Xenopus tropicalis: one gene and its partner. The protein of the gene in region 1 purifies or fractionates together with the protein of each later gene. This does not show direct contact. Links are inferred from orthologs where the notes say so. Each region holds a gene or a part of one and is shown on either strand. Other genes may lie near its edges. The genes, in order: coro1a and poc1a.

Region 1 (4,454 bases):
TACATAAGTGGGGGCAGATATGATTGGGTGGGGAATACAGGGATGGGCAGGGGCAGATAAGTGGGGCAGATTTGGTTGGGTGGGGAATACAGGGATGGGCAGGGGCAGATAGGTAAGTAGGGGCTAACAGAGACGAGAGAGAGATGAATGGGGCAAAGAAAAATGAGTAGGAGCAAATGGAGATGACATGGGGCAGAAAGAGATAAATGGGGCAAATTGAGATGAATAGAGGGAGATAGATATGGGGCATTCGGGGATATAGAGATGACAAGGGGCAGATAAAGATGCGTGGGGGCAGATAGACATAAGTAGGGGCAGATAGACATAAGTAGGGGCAGAGATGACATGGGGCAGATAGAGGTTAGTAGGGGCAGATAGACATAAGTAGGGGCAGAGATGACATGGGGCAGATAGAGGTTAGTAGGGGCAGATAGACATAAGTAGGGGCAGAGATGACATGGGGCAGATAGAGGTTAGTAGGGGCAGATAGACATAAGTAGGGGCAGAGATGACATGGGGCAGATAGAGATTAGTAGGGGCAGATAGACATAAGAAGGGGCAGAGATGACATGGGGCAGATAGAGATTAGTAGGGGCAGATAGACACAAGTAGGGGCAGAGATGACATGGGGCAGATAGAGATTAGTAGGGGCAGATAGACATAAGTAGGGGCAGAGATGACATGGGGCAGATAGAGGTTAGTAGGGGCAGATAGACATAAGAAGGGGCAGAGATGACATGGGGCAGATAGAGGTTAGTAGGGGTAGATAGACATAAGTAGGGGCAGAGATGACATGGGGCAGATAGAGATTAGTAGGGGCAGATAGACATAAGTAGGGGCAGAGATGACATGGGGCAGATAGAGATTAGTAGGGGCAGATAGACATAAGAAGGGGCAGAGATGACATGGGGCAGATAGAGATTAGTAGGGGCAGATAGAGATTAGTAGGGGCAGATAGACATAAGTAGGGGCAGAGATGACATGGGGCAGATAGAGATTAGTAGGGGCAGAGATGACATGGGGCAGATAGAGATTAGTAGGGGCATATAGACATAAGAAGGGGCAGAGATGACATGGGGCAGATAGAGGTTAGTAGGGGCATATAGACATAAGAAGGGGCAGAGATGACATGGGGCAGATAGAGGTTAGTAGGGGCAGATAGGGTTAAGAAGGGTGATACAGAGTTGGGGCTATTTTCCCTTTAACCCCTTGATGTTCCATGCACCCACCATCACTCTCTCTGCAGCAGTTATTAACCCTTTCCTGCCCAGTGCTTATATGCGGCCCCTCTCCCAGTATCAGGCCCCTGTCTATTAACTCCTTCCTGCCAGTGATCTACAGACTATGAGTCCATTGATACTTTCATTTCAGTGCAGAACCCCTTTAACCCCTTATTGCCAAGGGCATTGCCCCATTAACCCCTTTGTACATAAAACATCACCCTATTGGTGCTCCCCGGCCCTGGGTTTTTTGCCTTAACAAACTGCAAGGGTGCTGCAGATGATTGCGCTATTAACCCCTCCTGTGCTGGATATGAGGGAAGGGTGCAGCCCTAGTTTCCTGCCCACCCCCTGTCTCTTGCCGAGAATCTTTTAGAAAAGAAGAACTTGTGAGAGAGACAGAGAGAGAGCGAGCGAGAGCGAGAGGGCAGGAAGTGACTGGCTCTGAGCATCTGACCCACAGCACCGGGACCCACAGGTACAGTCTGGGGCAGGAGAGGGTTAATCAGGGCACAGGCTTGTGCAGGAGGGGGTTAATCAGGGCAGAAGTGCATTAATCAGGGCAAAGACTGGGGCAAATGAGGGTTAATTAGGGCACAGACTGGGGCATGTGAGGGTTAATCAAAGCACAGACTGGGGCATGTGAGGGTTAATCAAGGCACAGACTGGGGCATGTGAGGGTTAATCAAGGCACAGACTGGGGCAGTGAAAGGTTAATCAGGGCACAGACTGGGGCAGTGAAAGGTTAATCAGGGCACAGACTGGGGAAAGTGAGGGTTAATCAGGGTACAGATGGGGCTGAGAGGGTTAATCAGGGCACAGATGGGGCTGAGAGCGTTAATCAGGGCACAGACGGGGCTGAGAAGGTTAATCAGGGCACAGAGTGGGACAGTGAAAGGTTAATCAGGGCAGACGGGGCTGAGAGGGTTAATCCGGTCACAGGTCTGAGCAGGAAGGGGTTAATCAGGAAGGGCAGTAGAAGCTCATCATGCCCCAGGCTGGGGTAGGAAAGTAATTCACACCCCAAATGGGGCACAAAATGAGGGTTGGACACGGGGTCACTCTTCTCCCCTATATTTCCTCTCACTCACCTTCCTCTGTCACTCACTCTCACACTCATTCATGCACTCACTCACACTCTCTCCCACCCTCTGACTCCCTCTCATTCACTTTCACCCCATAACTCACTCTCTTCCCCTTCACTCACTCACTCTCTTCCCCTTCACTCACTCACTCTCTTCCCCTTCACTCACTCACTCTCTTCCCCTTCACTCACTCACTCTCTTCCCCTTCACTCACTCTCTTCCCCTTCACTCACTCACTCTCTTCCCCTTCACTCACTCACTCACTCACTCACTCTCTTCCCATTCACTCACTCACTCTCTTCCCCTTCACTCACTCACTCTCTTCCTCTTCACTCACTCACTCACTCACTCTCTTCCCCTTCACTCACTCACTCTCTTCCCCTTCACTCACTCACTCTCTTCCCTTTCACTCACTCACTCTCTCCTCTCACCCTGCCATCACCGTCTCCCACTCACTTTTTCCACCTCACTCACTCACTCTCTCCCCACCTTTCCTCTCAGTCTCCCCCCTCAATCCCCCTGTTGCCCCTCACTTACTGACACTCTTGCCTCCCTCACTTTCATCCCTTCTGCACTCACTCACACTCACTCTCTGGGTGCCGCACTCTGTGGCATATACTCCCACTCTTACCCCCCATGTACCACTCACTGCCTCACTCACTCTCCTGCCTCACTCACTCTCCTGCCTCACTCACTACCTCACTCTCCTGCCTCACTCACCCCAGTCTACTTGCCCCACTCATTTGCACCCCTACGCTCTGCGCTATATTTCCTCTTGCCCCTATTGCATTTGATTCCCCTCATTTTTCCCATGATCCTCTCTCCCCCCCGCAGGCCGCACCATGAGCAGGAAGGTTGTGCGCACCAGTAAGTTCCGCCATGTTTTTGGCCAAGCCGTGAAAGCCGACCAATGTTACGACGACATCCGCGTCTCCCAGAACACCTGGGACTCCAACTTCTGCTGCGTCAATCCCAAGTTCCTGGCCATCGTGGTGGAGGCCAGCGGGGGGGGCGCCTTCATGGTTCTGCCTCTCTCTAAGGTGAGTCACTCACCTGTACAGGTAGGGGAGAAAACTGAGCAAGCACTCACCCAGGAGCTGAGTGGGGCACATTGTTGTTAGTGAGTGAGAGAGGCAGGAAGTGAGTGAGGGAATACTAAATATTGGGGGAGGGGGAGGGGTAAGTGAGTTATTGGCATGTGAGTGAGCAGGGATGAGGGTGAGTGAGCTGTCAGTGTGAGTGCAGTGGGAAATTTGTAGAACACTATAGTGAGTGGGTAGGTTGTGAGGGGAGCAGGTGAGTACTGGGGGGTGAGTAGGAGCGGGGGGCGTGCACGTGTGAGTGGCTGAGCACAGAGCGGCAGGATGTGGTTGCTACAGGATGCTGAGGGCGGGAGGTGCAGGTGCGAAGTAGACACTCACAGGCAGAGAGGGACGTGCGCCGACACCAAACAGCCCCGGAGAGAGGATTTATACTGTGGCACAGTGAGAACTTAGAGCCCAGCTGAGGGGGGGAAGAAATATAGCACGCTCAGTCCACTTCCTGTGCTTTCAGGAACTATTGCTGTCTGCTTGAGAGCTCATCCTCCCAGAATTTATAGGTGTTCACCCTAAAATAAATGAGGGAGACACCAAGTGTCCCGCAGGCTGAGGTTTGTCCTGTTTGAGCTTAGTGCAGGCTGAGGTTTGTCCTGTTTGAGCTTAGTGCAGGCTGAGGTTTGTCCTGTTTGAGCTTAGTGCAGGGAGAGGTTTGTCCTGTTTGAGCCTAGTGCAGGCAGAGGTTTGTCCTGTTTGAGCTTAGTGCAGGCAGAGGTTTGTCCTATTTGAGCTTAGTGCAGGCTGAGGTTTGTCCTGTTTGAGCTAAGTCCAGGCAGAGGTTTGTCCTGTTTGAGCTTAGTGCAGGCTGAGGTTTGTCCTATTTGAGCTTAGTGCAGGCTGAGGTTTGTCCTGTTTGAGCTTAGTGCAGGCAGAGGTTTGTCCTGTTTGAGCTTAGTGCAGGCAGAGGTTTGTCCTGTTTGAGCTTAGTGCAGGCAGAGGTTTGTCCTGTTTGAGCTTAGTGCAGGCTGAGGTTTGTCCTGTTTGAGCTTAGTGCAGGCAGAAGTTTGTCCTGTTTGAGCTTAGTGCAGGCTGAGGTTTGTCCTGTTTGAGCT
Region 2 (4,554 bases), on another chromosome or scaffold:
AGGAACACCAGAGGCCTACTGAACAGTTTGATGCCCAATATGCATAGATATACCAAAGTCTGCGGTATGTACTGAACCCTAAATGAAAATAGCGCATAAGGATTTCTCGCCTGCCAGCTCAGCTTTTGCACACAGAGCCCCGTCAGTGTATTATGTGCAGTAACCCCCCCCTAACTATACAGTGACCCCCAGAAAACCATATATTTTTGGAAAGTACACATTCTGATGAATTCAAAATAGGTAAAGTTATTTTTGTACACCAAAGTTACACCTGGCAAAGCTACGCTAAAAACAGATCAGGAACACTTATATAGGGATAAAATGTGATAAAACCACAAAATTGTGCAAATCAGTGAAACAACAAAATAAGTTACATGACAGTGTAATTAGTGGCCAGAATATCTGATCCAATAGTTACGCTGTCAAAATAAACAGTTTTTAGGTAAAAGAAAATAAAAACAAAGTGGTAATATGAAAAAAAAAAAAAAAAAAAAGCAAAACAAAAAAAAACCAAAGTGTTTGTGTATACATGTGTGTACATGTGTAAAAGTTGTGTGATAGTGTGTAAGTGTGTATATGAGTGTAAATAAGTGTATAAAAGTGTGAAAAATGAAAAAAAAAAAAAAAAAAATAAAATAAAAAAATGCTAAAATGTGTGCTGTAAGTGTGTGTAAATGTATGTAAGTGTGTATAAATGTATGTAAATGTGTGTATAAGTGTGTAAAAGTGTGTAAATGCAATTAAAAAAAAAAGTCCTTACCTGTTCCTGAAGACCGATCGCCTCCTTCGTCATTTGGGCCGGCGCTGGGGGAGAGGGAGGAAGCAGGAAGCAGCAGATGCGATGCGATCGCATCTGCTGCTTCCTGGAGGGTCCTGCGAGCGATCGGCTCGCAGGACCCTGATGACAGCCCCCCTGGCACATTGCCCAGGGGGGCTGTCATTGTTAGAAGCCCTCTGCAGCGGCGGCACATGCCGCCGCTGCAGAGGGCAGCGCTTAAACGCCAACGACGTATGAGACACGTCGTTGGCGTTTAAGCCCTTTTACTGCCAGCACGTATGCCATACGTGCTTGGCAGTAAAAGAGTTAAGGTATCCATACATGGGCAGATTTAAGCTGCTGATTCAGATAGAGCCAGCAGCTGCCCGCGTATAGGGCCCTCTGAAGAGCCTGTCCAACCAATAGCTGGGCAAAAATCAGGCAAACTTTGATCAGGCAGTTTTGAAAACTTGTATTCCTGTCGCTATGATCCAGTGGTTTGGCCTAAGGCTAAACAATCTGATCAGCCTGATGGTTGGCTTTTCAGAAAAAGATTCACTCTTTGGTGACCGTTACCTATTAAAACCCCTGCCTCTGATAAATGACCATAAAATCCTTTTCTCATCATTCAAATTGTAATTTGTTTGAATGGAGATATTGAGCTCTGTTTATGTAGAATCTCTCCTCCTTCACTAAGATGCCATTTTTGTTAGGCAATGAGATAAGAAGCAGCTTATAAAACAGAGAATGTACCTGTGGACTGTCCATTTGTTACTTACTTCTCTGCAAATGGTTACTAGGCAGAACCAGTAAGACAGACAGGGTGTTGAAAAGAAAATGTAGGGAAAATATACAAGTATGTTCGGCACAAGCTCAATTCATGCAGCTTATATTAAAAAGGGAGTGTATAGCCCCTTTAAAGGAACAAGGGAGCCCCAGAGCATAATTGCTCTTAACTAGCCCCATATTTATCGCAGCCCATTGCGTAGGATCTAAGAATGGGCTGGAGTTTTTATTTGAAGGCAGAAGTTTCCAAACTACTTTACAGAAATAACATGCCCTTTTTATTCATCTTCCAGTGCACATCTAATTCTTTTCACCTTAAGGATTATTATTATTATTATTAACATTTATTTATAAGGCGCCAACATATTCTGCAGCGCTGTACAATAAGTGGGTTTTATACATTGGACATACAGAGTAACATATAAGGCAATCAATAACCGATACAGGAGGTGAAGGGAGCCCTGCCCAAAAGAGCTTACAATCACTCATCAGTTCTCTGGAAAGCTCTGTCATTAAGAGATATACAGCATTTAAGAACCCCCCCCTGAATCTTGTAGGCAATTATGAATACTATATGGTGCTGGTTTCACTCTAGGCTTACAATGGTTTCTTACTTTAAAAATTGCCCTTTTATTGGAGAACCCATATATCTTCTCAGGTCCCAGTCAGTGTTTCAAATGAGAGTTGGGTATGTCCTAACAGTCCAGGTAGAAGCACAGTTTAAGGCACCCAGGGACAGGAGTGTATTGTCTGTCCCTATTTATATATACAGGTATGGGATCTGTTATCCAAGATACATGGGACCTGGGGGTTTCCAGACAAGGGATTTCCATTTGTAGCAATTAGTCAGCCTATTTACATAATGAGAATGATCAATTCCCTTTTATTAGCTTGGTCACCCTCTTGACATGCTTCTGCACCATTAAGCGATGGTCTTGTTGCCCCTTTCCCTTTGCATGGCAAAAGGCTCAGCACAAGGGAAATGACAGCTTTGCCATTTCCCTTATGCTGAGCAAATGGGTTAATCATATTTGACATTTATAGTGTTGATCTTTTCCATGGTAACCAATGTTTTAAACACATATTTACCATACTTCCTCACTAGGCAACAAGATCTACATATAAAGCTCCCGAACAATAAAACCCTTCCCACTGCATCATCACAGACCTGCTTTCTGTTACTTCCTTTGTCTCCCAGTCGTCAGTTCTTTGTATGGACCATTAATGGTTGAGCAGAGAAATCAAACTGTACTGCGGTTGCCTCATTCCCACTGAAACGTTCTATGAAGTGAACTGTTTATTTCACCAGTTGGAAAAACATCTGCTATTATTTTATTTATCTGTATAAAATTCCAGAGAAAGGGAAGTTTAGATAAATCTCAAAGCCACTAGCTGGCTGCAAGGGTCAGTGATCCTGGCATCATCCAGGTAGCAGCGTGCATGCCAAAGGGAAATGCTACAGAACAAAAAGTTGTGTTTGCCAGCCGACCACCACCATGAGATGCTGGAGTATGGTGTTAGTTCAGCATTCCTTAATAAGTTAGGAAACACCATTATTTATGCATTAACAGCTGAACAGAGAAGAGTCCAGTGTGGTCACTGCCATATACACCGCACAAATGTCTCTTACTCCTAAATGTCCTCATAAGATGTTTGACCAAATACTTTTGTGTTGTCTCAAGCATCCAGCTGTTGTATATTGGTTTGCTTCCATGCTACATTGTTGCACTATTAAAGGGCACCCTAAAACTGATTCCCCCCATCAAAGTTTGGAATTAAAAGAGCCCACACTCTGGTTGGGCTCCCTTTTCTTTTTTTTTTTTTTTTTTTTTTAAAATTGCTCCTCCCCAGGTGTAGGCCACCTGCACTGGGAGGGAGCTCCTGGTGTGGAAGGCATGTTGTTGTGGCACACCCGTTATGCCCTTTAAGATCAAGCAGGCTGGGGGGGGGGGGTGCGTTCCCAAACGCAGACCATTACGTTACCAACTCGTTCACAAGTCAGCAATGTTTGTCGGCCTATATATTGCCTGTATGTGCTTATTGTTCTGCCCCCCCACCTTAGCCTGCCTGACCAATATCTCAATTATTCTAGTTTTATATGAAAATGACTGTATAATTTTTAATCCATATAAAAACAAACTCTTCTTCCTTCCAGACCGTGGGGATTTTAGAGCAAAGGCTTTCTCTAACAGAAGACAAATTGAAGGAATGCATTGACAACCAGCAGGCAACTGTTTCACTCAGTCACAGTGCTACAAAAACACCATCATTTTAATCAATGCTTTGCTTTTTATTCAGGTTTTGACTTGTTGTGGAATATATATTTTTATTGTAAATATTTTAATGTATTGTTTTTAATAAAATGTTTTTGAATAAACAGCCTCCAAATGTGAGATATTAAGGTGAGGACGATTAAGATAATGAGGTTGGCCACAGAAAATCTCTGTAAAATATAGTAAAAGATGAAAGTGCTGGTCCATTAAAGAATTGAATACTTTTTATTTTAGTGGTTGCTAAATCGCCAAATGTGCTTAGGGATTTCTGTACTCGCAGTCTGACCCGGACTGGCAATCTGTGGGTTCTGGCAAATGCTGTAAGATGCCATAGACAGTCACTATTTATTGGACTGGTGGGGGGCTGTTTGGGCCTCTGTGTACCTGAAATGCTATTATGAAGCCCAGTCTGGCCCTGCTCCCAAGAAATAAAGTAGAGGAACCAGTGGCTGAAGGCAGTACATAAGACTTACTATAAAAAGTTATTAGGGGGTAATGCTATTTTTTATGGGTAGTTTTTGAGGCAGCTTGATTGGATACGGAGGACAAGTTGGGGGGCTTTGGGCTAGACTGAGACAGGAATTGTAAACCAGTTCAGGCCCAGCTCTAGAATTTGGCAAGATCCTTACGGAAGAAAGTATTGGCTCTGCTCTCTATCAGATCAATGTAGATGATACATAGGCTGTCTGTCCATAGGCTAAAGAGGAAAGCAAGCCTGCCATACCAAACACACACTGA

The links.
Region 2: the proteins of coro1a (region 1) and poc1a purify together in Homo sapiens (affinity purification with mass spectrometry; 3 studies listed by BioGRID and IntAct, counting the BioPlex papers as one, with this or other methods). This does not show direct contact. The link is inferred for Xenopus tropicalis from reciprocal best matches to the Homo sapiens genes CORO1A and POC1A.

The regions. Positions count from the first base shown.
Region 1 is NC_030685.2:2,354,791-2,359,244, reverse strand, and holds the start of coro1a (coronin-1A), read left to right. Parts: upstream 1-1,623; 5' UTR 1,624-1,698; intron 1,699-3,139; 5' UTR 3,140-3,147; coding exon 3,148-3,345; intron 3,346-4,454. UniProt on the Homo sapiens protein: May be a crucial component of the cytoskeleton of highly motile cells, functioning both in the invagination of large pieces of plasma membrane, as well as in forming protrusions of the plasma membrane involved in cell locomotion.
Region 2 is NC_030680.2:128,788,088-128,792,641, reverse strand, and holds the end of poc1a (POC1 centriolar protein homolog A), read left to right. Parts: intron 1-3,698; coding exon 3,699-3,818; 3' UTR 3,819-3,920; downstream 3,921-4,554.